Neodiprion lecontei: one gene and its partner. The protein of the gene in region 1 purifies or fractionates together with the protein of each later gene. This does not show direct contact. Links are inferred from orthologs where the notes say so. Each region holds a gene or a part of one and is shown in the gene's direction. Other genes may lie near its edges.

Region 1 (4,178 bases):
TATGTACATCACATTAGCATTATTTGTCTATCAAAGAGCCCTTATATACTGTAGCTATTAGATTATTATGACATATGTAAATATTTTGTCATGCTTAAAGTTACATAAATATGCTCAGTATACTCACATACCTTATACGCGCGTGTATTGATATATTTGTAAATAAGATTACCCATGAACATGCCATATGCAATTATCGGAATTTGAGAGCGTTATCAAAACAAATTATGCACAGCCAAAGTACCATAATATCGATCGATTTAATTAGGATATATCACGGTATTTGGAAACTGAATACTATTCTTTACCCGCTGCAATCACTGTCCATCTCCATCGTATTTAATAATAATAACTATTACGAGAAATTGAGGAAAGTTAAATGATTAATATCAGATTGTTTACAGTCGAATAGGATTGCAAGAGCTATAACGGTATTTATATTATCTAGAAATAATTTGTTTATTACTTGGGAGATGCGGTTGAAAAACATTTGTCTATTGACAACATGTAATAGATTAGCGAGCTGGTGCAGACAGACCAACTTTTAAAAATCAAAGTAGTACTTTACATTGTCTTGTTTGCGGAATTTTTTATACATATGTTGGCATGAAAATTTTTTTCACACACATGTGAAGACTTCACCTTTGACTGGAGCTCGTAAATAGTTTAACTTTTAACTTATCCATACATGTATTTTTGTATTAATTATTTTAAGATTTATGAGATCTACCAAAATTGATCAAATTCTTTAATTATAGAGCGATTAAACCGAATTGAAAAATTTCCAAACAGCATACCTTGTAGTACTAGAGTGTGCTTTTTAATATTGTTATATTGAGTAAATTTTTTGATACTAATATTTGCAAATGATATTTTATGTACATTTTAATGTATTCGAACTGAATAATCTATGTATATAAATATATTGTGCCTTATATATGTTAGATTATATATATACATATATGTATGAATATACATGTATATGTATGTATATAAATAAAGGTATTTCACATGTTAAATAAAATTCAACAGACTGTGTCTTTGTAAAAAAAAAAAAATTAATAAAAAATATTCAAAGTACAGATTGAGTATCAAATTTTAATTACGATTGCCAAAGTTCTGTAACATATAATTACTCTGTCATTGATAATATTTGATAAATTTAAATGAATAAAAAACATCTATCAAAGAAGCTGTTTGAATTATAGAATTAATTCATTCTCAAGATATTCCTTCAAATTGATCTATCGTATCCCTTGCAATAAACATTCAAATTTTTAACATCACAACGAGAACTGCAATAAGTTTTATAAAAATGTGTGATGAAAAGAAAAGTTTGAAATTGAGATTAAAACGTGTAATTTAGTCGGTATTTGTCATCACCGGAATTTCAATCACGTCGGTGAGTGGAAGGTGGGTAGTAATAACGTGTACTAAGAAAATAGTATAATCGTTGTACGCTCAGTGAGGGAGAGGCAAAAGTCACCCTCATTGCTCTGTACTCTCAAGTGAATCTCTCTAATTGTAAGCGACAAACTACGAGGCCTGTTAATTAAAAGCCCCCTGACATGGAATTGAACTCACACATTCACGTACGGATGTGTGCGTGCGTACATTACGATACGTCATAATTTGCGGCCCGCTTGACAATGAACAGACACGGCAAGAACGACGACCTGAACGATACGAAATCACGCGTCAGGAACCTCGTCTTAAGATAAGTCTCGTCACGTGACTTTCAGCTCAGTTTTATACGTTCTAACCCGTTCAGGTGACAGTGCTTGCCAGGAGTCGAAGAGCTAATATCAGCTGATCGTACGTACCTATAGACGATATTTACTACGTCATAGGGTAGCGCAAATACCAAACGTGCTGACAAAGCAGTTCGTGCCGAATATTAAAGGTTTCATTCAGTTTTTACGTCTCGTGTTGCCAGTATCTAGAAGGATAATAGTTTTACGGAAATAATATCAGAATGGCAAGTGTTCAGCGTAACGAATTATACGACGATTGGAAGAAAAGAGTAAGTCGCTAAAGCAAGAAACGCTGTATACTCGAGCATTCGTTCACCGTATGCGTCACGTTCATACCGTCGGAGGTTACTCCGAAATGAATTATTTTATCAAGGAAACCAATCTGTGGCACTAAGATAAACGGCATTGTTTACAGGCATTCCTTGGACCGCTTCCACATGGCTTTCTCAGAGTCGAAGAAAGCCCACGGCAACAACAAGAGGCTGCCGATCAACAAGCCGCTCTGGCGCTACAGCACCATCTCCAAAGTGCACCGCCCGTGGTAGCTGCACGCATGGGCAGACTGAGCGTGACGATTACTCAGGTTGGCGTTTTGCAAAATTAGAGTCCTCGATACAGAGCATCAAATATTCAGTACAACTAGAAAACAACCTATCAGTCGATGATCGTACTACCAACAACAAGAACAACAACAATAATAACAAACCATTTCAAAATACAGGCAAAATTGGTTAAGAATTACGGCATGACCAGAATGGATCCTTACGTCAGATTGCGAGTCGGTCATTCCATTTATGAAACACATACAGATCCAAACGGAGGGAAAAACCCGCACTGGAACAAAGTTTTGCAATGGTAACACACTTGAGGAGCTTCTACGTTTAAACCTTACAAATGATTAGGATAGATATTTTTCACTGATTCTTATCGAACCTGTTGTACAAATCAACTTATGATTTTTTTTCATCAAATTCGGTTTGGTATTATTGTCGTTATTTTAACTATTACTTATTTCAGCTACCTTCCACCTGGGGTAACGCAAATATACGTTGAAATTTACGACGAGTGTTCGTTTATGATGGATGAACTTATCGCTTGGGGTCATATAGAAATACCACCCCAAGTAATTTTGGCAGGAGAGACTCACGAGGACTGGTATCCCCTTAGTGGAAAACAAGGGGATAATCAGGAAGGCATGATTAACATGGTTTTCAGTTATTTGGTAATTTGAAAGGACTGAATTTATCTTTTAAAACTTTGCGTTACCTCGTTGATCCATCAATAACGGTTGGCGCGTTTCTTTTCCTACTATTGATGAACGACGTTTAAATTTTTTATTCAGCCTACTCCTGGTAATCCATACATTGGTCAAACGCCAGTAATGATGGTTCCTTCGACTAATTTATGTGGTATGACACAATATGCACCGGTCAATGTGTATACGACTCCACCTGCCGTCGCTGCTGTTCCAACTGTTGATCCGAGTCAGAGGGCAAACGCAGAAATTGAATTGAGACAGGTAATATGGATTTTGTCAGTGTTGTCATAGAATGTTGGCAAAGTTTAGCGCTAACTGTATTGGATTTGTATTTTACAGATCGCAGAGATGTTCCCAAACGTTGATACCGAGGTCATTAAGTCCGTGTACGATGCGAATCAAGGAAAGAAGGATGTGACAATAAATTCTCTGTTGCAAATGTGCGAATAAATGTCAAAAAACCATTGTCATATTCAAATTGCCATATCTGTATTTTCCGCTGAAGTTGTATTCCATTTTAATTGTAATATATTTATAAATTATTATAACGGTTATTAATTTTACTCTTGTCTTTGTTACATACGTAACTGTTTTAAGATTCATATTTCAAACTTGCAGAAGAGATTTTAATTTGGTGTAATTACCATTGTACTGAACTACATAGGTCTTTAGTTCAAATAGGGTTCATCTCGATTTTATAACTCATTTTACTAAAAATTACGTGCATAAATATAAATATTAATATTTGTATATAATGTTGATTAAATTAATCAATTAAAGAATAATAACAATTTCTTAAAGTTTCGATACTTCAGAAGCTTATAAATCCTACATGGATCAGTGAATCGTTATTCCAATAGTTATCTGCCAATGTTAATACATTAACGTTATCACTAGGCATGTGATTCATTGCTCCCTGAGATATGAAATATTGTTTCCAACTTAAATTGTGTTATTACGAAGAATTATCAGATTCTCCATACTGACATGACTGTGCTCATCTTTACTTGGAATGTCGATCATGCTGATGCGATAACTTATATTAATAGACGTTTACTTATAACTTAAATTGCAATCATTTCATAGATTTGCACGTTTTTAAGCTTTAAATGTGGGATCAGAGCATATAATAAATGAAAAAAAAAAGTTCTTTCCACAGAATACCA
Region 2 (5,799 bases), on another chromosome or scaffold:
GCCACAGCTAACAGTTGCGCAATATACATTAAAAAGAATCAAATGCGAAATAAACGATGTAATATTTATGCATAAATTTATCACGTATAAATACTTTTAGATTTTAATATCAGTGTACCAAGCTGGGATACTCGTTTTAAAATAATGTAATGTAATTTTCAATAGCTCCAAAAGTTAAAATTATGCCAAGCAGTGGTTTGGAACTTGAAGCATTTGACAGTCTCTTTCACTTCTAACAGCACTGAAATAAGAGATGAATATTTGACGAATAACAAACGTAATTATCTATCTGAGATATCATGATAATGCTTAAGGAAAAAAATAAACACAATTCTTACTTAAAATTAGTTTGAGAAATTTGTTTGAATACGCACTTAAGGGAACTATTTATGTCCATAAATAAAGTTTTGGTAGACACTAATGCACTTTACATCAGTTTATCGTATTGTGTACATAAGCTCAGTTGCAACATATACAGAAGATTGTTGTAAAGAAAATTCTATGACAGGATCATTTCTATCTAAAGCCCTGGGTCAGTGAAGCTGACAAGCCCTGACAGCAATAAGTTGTAAGAGAATAAAAACAGGGCTCAAAACTTCAGAATATTCCAGACTGCTTTGACCTGACAATTTTTTGCAAAGTAAATACTTGAAAACAAAAACTAACAAAAGAAAAGTCAAACTCCATAGTGCTCTAAGTATAGCACTTTTCATTACTCCATCCATTTGCATTCTTATGAAAATAATTGCACAAAAATATGTGTTCAAGCCATCACCGATAAATAATGGCGAGAATATAATCCACCAGCCTCCATTGCCTGCGAAATAATTGTTATCTATCTTCATGGCTAGCAAAATCGTAAATATTGTCAATGATACAAGATTGATCCATATTTCAAATATCGTTAAACCCAGCCAGTGCACTAATTCGTTGAGGGAAAATATCATCTTGAGGAAGTTCACAATGAAGAAAAAACAAATATCAAATATGGAAATTAAGCTTCTTCATTGTCTCATAAAATATAAAGCTTACATCCAAACACTACCTCAGACTGAATAAACTCACTTAAAATTAATAGTATGTGTTTATTTGAATGTCTCAAACAATGCTGTGCGGAACACTCGAATATGAATGGCTGAATTTTGCCGTTGATTTACCTCATAGTCAGCGTCATCTGTGATAGGCTCAAAATCATCTATAAAAGTCAAATTAATTATACCATTAATACTCAACAATTCAATGTTCAAATCCTAGCCCAGCTTTACCTACCAGTTATATCTACAGTCGACGTATTTATGTCCAAATCGACAGTGCCATGGTGATTTTCTTTCAATTGTAAGGCCAAATTGCAAGCTCTGCTTACCGCAGCACCAAGAGCATGAATAACAATTTCTTGTTCACCGGAATCCAGTAGTTTTTCACATTTGTTCAGCTGAGCCTTAAACAGAGTCGATAGTATTATGAGAAATCATGCATAATTATATTCTTGTTTACAATGAAGCAACAATCGTGCAAAATATAAGCAAGAATTTATAAATTCTGATAGCTGGAGCGTTGGAAATTGTAATTACCAGAAACAAGCTGAAAAGAGAAGGTACGAGACTGGTTTACAGTGTTTGTCAGTTTTCCAACTCCACACCATGGATATTTATATAAAATAATTGAAAAATGGTACGGAACATCATGTGATTTAAACGCACCAAATGAGGTTAGGGTGCCTGAGGTTACCTTGAAGTTTGTTTTGTTGGTGATATAGAAGTCCTTGTCACTTTTCGGTAAACGTGGCGGTAATCTCTTTCTTATAACATGTTCGTAGGTGGGTCGCAGTTTGATCTTAGAGTCCTTGATTGAGCTTTCTGTCAAATTTTGTTGACTCGATTCAACTTCGCTTTTCGCAGCAGCCATTGTGGCATTTCTCCTGTATCCTGAGAGGAGGTTATGCGATTGGCAATTCCTATGGAGAGAGTTGAGATTCTGATTACGATATCCAATCGTGCGACATGCGTGCGACTAACTTCGACAGGCAAAATGCATCAACATAACATAACCTCTCACCTCGCAGAGACCACGACGGTGACAGAGGCGAATCACGAATTGTCGTTGGTCGTATTTTCGGATTCCGTTTTGTGCCTGAAAAAATAAAACCAGCAAAATTCAGTCGCCGAAGGAGAATAGAGATTATCATTCAAACATGAAGGAGCCAGATTTGGATCCGAAGAATATTATTAAAAGCAGAGAATCGCTCTATCGGCTTATGATCAGGTAAGCAAATCTCAAATTTTTCACTACTTCAAACTTCTCATTACACGTTTTCGTTATGTTCAGACACCATTGCTTCAATTTGTGTTTTCGTAAAAAAATTACGGATAATTAACTAAATGGTTATTCATATCTTATTGCAAAACTAGTCATTTCATACGTCCCTTAGAGGGTTTAGAAAAACTGATTTGACAAGGTATCCAGCAATGAAAGTTTATACACCATAATTAGGGATATCGGAGGAATCGGATTTTTCTAAGAAAATTTTCAGATATAGAATATTTGCGAAAAATACTTCACTAATTTGCTAAGTTTTCCCAACTCCCAGTGACATCTTGAAACACCTTGCCTAACAATTACAGACTGTGATATCACAATATTAGGCAGAAGTTGATTTGATTTTCTCTTTCATTTACATATCAAATTGTAAGAGGCACAGTCTCACAAATCCTGCTGTTTACACATTTTTACATAAGCGTATGACTGGTCATTTTGTCGAAGTAATGAAATTGTGTTTACTAATCTATAAAGTGGTCTTAGTTATATGGAAAACATATTTTTCAGCCAACTTTTCTATGATGGTCATCAAACTCTGGCGGTTCAATTGTCGAACATGATACAAGCTGAGCCGCCTTGCCCACCTTCAGATAGATTGTTGCATTTGATGTTAATCGGTGCTGCGCATGAGCCAGATCGTACAAAAAAAGAAGTAAATAATCTACCGACATTTTCCAATGTCGATAATACTCTTGGTCCTGGTTTAGATTTAGAGTTTGAAACAGAGGCTCAGACGCAGGCACCAGAACCGGCACAATATGAAACGGCGTATGTTACATCGCACAAAGGAAATTGTAGAGCAGGAGCATTTTCGGCGGATGGACAGCTAATTGCCACAGGCTCCGTCGATGCCTCGATAAAGATTTTAGATGTTGACAGAATGTTGGCCAAATCTGCACCGGACGAAATGGCACCTGGTGATCAAACTGGGGGGCATCCAGTGATCAGAACGCTGTACGATCACTTGGAGGAGGTGACTTGCTTAGAGTTTCATCCCAGGGAGCCAATACTTGTTTCCGGGAGCAGAGACTTCTCAGTCAAGCTCTTTGACTTCAGTAAAGCAAGTGTTAAGAAAGCTTTTCGTACTATAACAGACGCCGACCAGATCAGATGCTTGTCGTTTCATCCGACTGGTGATTTTCTTGTTGTTGGAACAAATCATCCTGTCGTTAGATTGTACGATGTAAATACGGCACAGTGCTTTGTATCTAGTATACCCAGCCATCAGCATACGGCAGGTATAACCAGCATTAAATATTGTCTGGACGGTAAGACTTACGCCTCTGCTGGTAAGGATGGAAGTATTAAATTATGGGATGGTGTATCCAATCGGTGTATAAATACTTTTGTCAAAGCACACGACGGGTACGAGGTTTGCTCCGTGACGTTTACAAGAAATGGAAAGGTATGTTTCTTCTTTAATTTATAAATTAAACTGACGTCAATAATCGTGACTAAGGCAAACACAGCTGAGAATTATATTTACACTTTGCTGTCTTTGTGAATTTCAGGGATGTCCTTTCCCATGTCACTAAAGTGTCTTGGTAAAAAATATGAATATAAATTCTTGATATTCATTTTCAGTATTTACTCTCATCTGGAAAAGATTCTTTGATTAAATTGTGGGAACTGTCAACGAGCAGATGTTTGATTGCTTACACAGGTGCTGGTACAACAGGTAAAAGGTTTTCGAGTCTCTTTGATCTGGCACTTGAGATGTTAATCATAATTCTTGGTACATGTCAAAGTTTTTCATTTACGCGTGATCCACATTTACCAATAGATTAAAATTGTAACTACTTACAAAATAAAGGTTGAATGTAGTGGTCATTGTCATTTTCAGTCAAAATCGAAGTGTAAATCACGCTTATGTCTGCGAAACGAAAGTTCGTGCATTTTTGAAAAAAATCATAACTTGTGGTCATTTTTAATTATATCTTGTATTTTTTTCTCACAGGAAAACAGGAGCACAAAGCTCAAGCAATATTTAATCATACTGAAGACTATGTGATGTTTCCGGATGAGGCTACAACCTCTCTTTGTGCTTGGAATTCCCGAAACGCTTCCAGAAAGCAGCTTTTATCATTGGGTCACAATGGCCCTGTCCGTTTAATTGTACATTCTCCGACTGCTCCGGCTTTCTTAACATGCAGCGATGACTTTAGAGCAAGGTTTTGGTTCAGGCGAATGCCTACGCATTGAGGTGCGAGTACCAAAAATTAAATTAGGACCTTACCTTATTTATCATGGGAACATAAATATTCTAAGGAAATTTCACCCTTCGACATTGAAGGTACTGATATTTCTTTGCACGTTAGCATTAAGATCGTCATAAAATCAATGTCATTATTTTTCCTTCATTTTTTATTCGCAATTGATTTACTAAATTCATTGATTATTTTCGCTTTTTAAGAGACGCAATTCTTGGCCCGAGAACGTATATGAATCTTAATCTCGGTATTAATTGCTGAATTGAATACAGATAAAGCTTTGGATTCATCCCACTTATGTAGACAAGATGAAAATGGGAAACAGAGTTTCACCAGAATAATATATTTTTTCTGATTTCCCTCCACATCTATTTGATGAAGCCAACTTTTCCATAAATAAAATGCAAATATTTGTGAACGAAAAAAAAAACAATTATTCCTAGGAATAATCAATATCGTAAGTTAATAATTTGAAGTTATTTCGTTTTATTGTTGTTTTTTAAATTTTTTTTAGAGATAAACAAATGTATTTTTTTTCGATAACTATACAGTAAAAGTATTCGCAAGTACATAACTAGTTTTCGAAGTATTCACGAAAATTTTGAAAAATATGTTTAAAATACTTTGTACACCATTTGAAAAAGAAGCGTCAAAAATATTCACATTACTTCGCAGCTCTTACTATTTTTAAGTACGAATGATAAAGCGGCGCGGGAAAAAGCCGCATGCGGGAGCTGAAATGATGTTTGAAATAGAAATGTTTGAATCGGCGCAAGCGAACCCGCGGGTGTTTATAGTTCAGGAACGCGATGGGTGGTGGCGCGGCTCTCGTCCCGCTCTACGTTTGACGAGGTCACGTGACCCACGCTACCCGCCATCTTTGCTTATCGTATAAACAGTGCGACCGGGCTCCTTGCGATTTCTAGTAGTAAATCAGTGGTTTCCGTGTGTTTTTGAGTGATTCCGACACGAAGAAATGTCTGAGATTAAAGCAGAGACCAAGAACGATAACAGTGTCGACGATGTGTCTAAGGTAAGTACGTGAAAAGCAGTGAAAATCCTTCGTCAAGCCGAGTTTCCATGCCAAGGCGGCGTGTAAGTCCCTCAAATACGGGGCGACGCTCGGTATCTCGAAAATTCTCAACTCTCCAGTATGCGGGTATTAAGCAATTATAGGCTCGCTGTGAATCGTCTAGATGCAGAAGATTAATATTATTCGAGAAGCTCCTCTTAATACGCGTGATGTCATATTCAGCGATTTTTCAAAGCCGTA

The links.
Region 2: the proteins of toll-interacting protein A (region 1) and cleavage stimulation factor subunit 1 purify together in Homo sapiens (co-immunoprecipitation; 3 studies listed by BioGRID and IntAct, with this or other methods). This does not show direct contact. The link is inferred for Neodiprion lecontei from reciprocal best matches to the Homo sapiens genes TOLLIP and CSTF1.

The regions. Positions count from the first base shown.
Region 1 is NC_060265.1:3,483,348-3,487,525, forward strand, and holds toll-interacting protein A, read left to right. Parts: upstream 1-1,796; 5' UTR 1,797-1,975; coding exon 1,976-2,023; intron 2,024-2,169; coding exon 2,170-2,337; intron 2,338-2,475; coding exon 2,476-2,609; intron 2,610-2,771; coding exon 2,772-2,976; intron 2,977-3,096; coding exon 3,097-3,273; intron 3,274-3,351; coding exon 3,352-3,462; 3' UTR 3,463-3,560; downstream 3,561-4,178. UniProt on the Homo sapiens protein: Component of the signaling pathway of IL-1 and Toll-like receptors. Inhibits cell activation by microbial products. Recruits IRAK1 to the IL-1 receptor complex. Inhibits IRAK1 phosphorylation and kinase activity.
Region 2 is NC_060263.1:36,110,805-36,116,603, forward strand, and holds cleavage stimulation factor subunit 1, read left to right. Parts: upstream 1-2,049; 5' UTR 2,050-2,191; coding exon 2,192-2,262; intron 2,263-2,823; coding exon 2,824-3,721; intron 3,722-3,900; coding exon 3,901-3,994; intron 3,995-4,273; coding exon 4,274-4,518; 3' UTR 4,519-5,072; downstream 5,073-5,799. Other genes in the region: transmembrane protein 203, read right to left, coding at 534-947; ribonuclease P protein subunit p20, read right to left, coding at 1,086-1,195, 1,270-1,438, 1,729-1,905; putative uncharacterized protein DDB_G0271982, read left to right, coding at 5,503-5,559. UniProt on the Homo sapiens protein: One of the multiple factors required for polyadenylation and 3'-end cleavage of mammalian pre-mRNAs. May be responsible for the interaction of CSTF with other factors to form a stable complex on the pre-mRNA.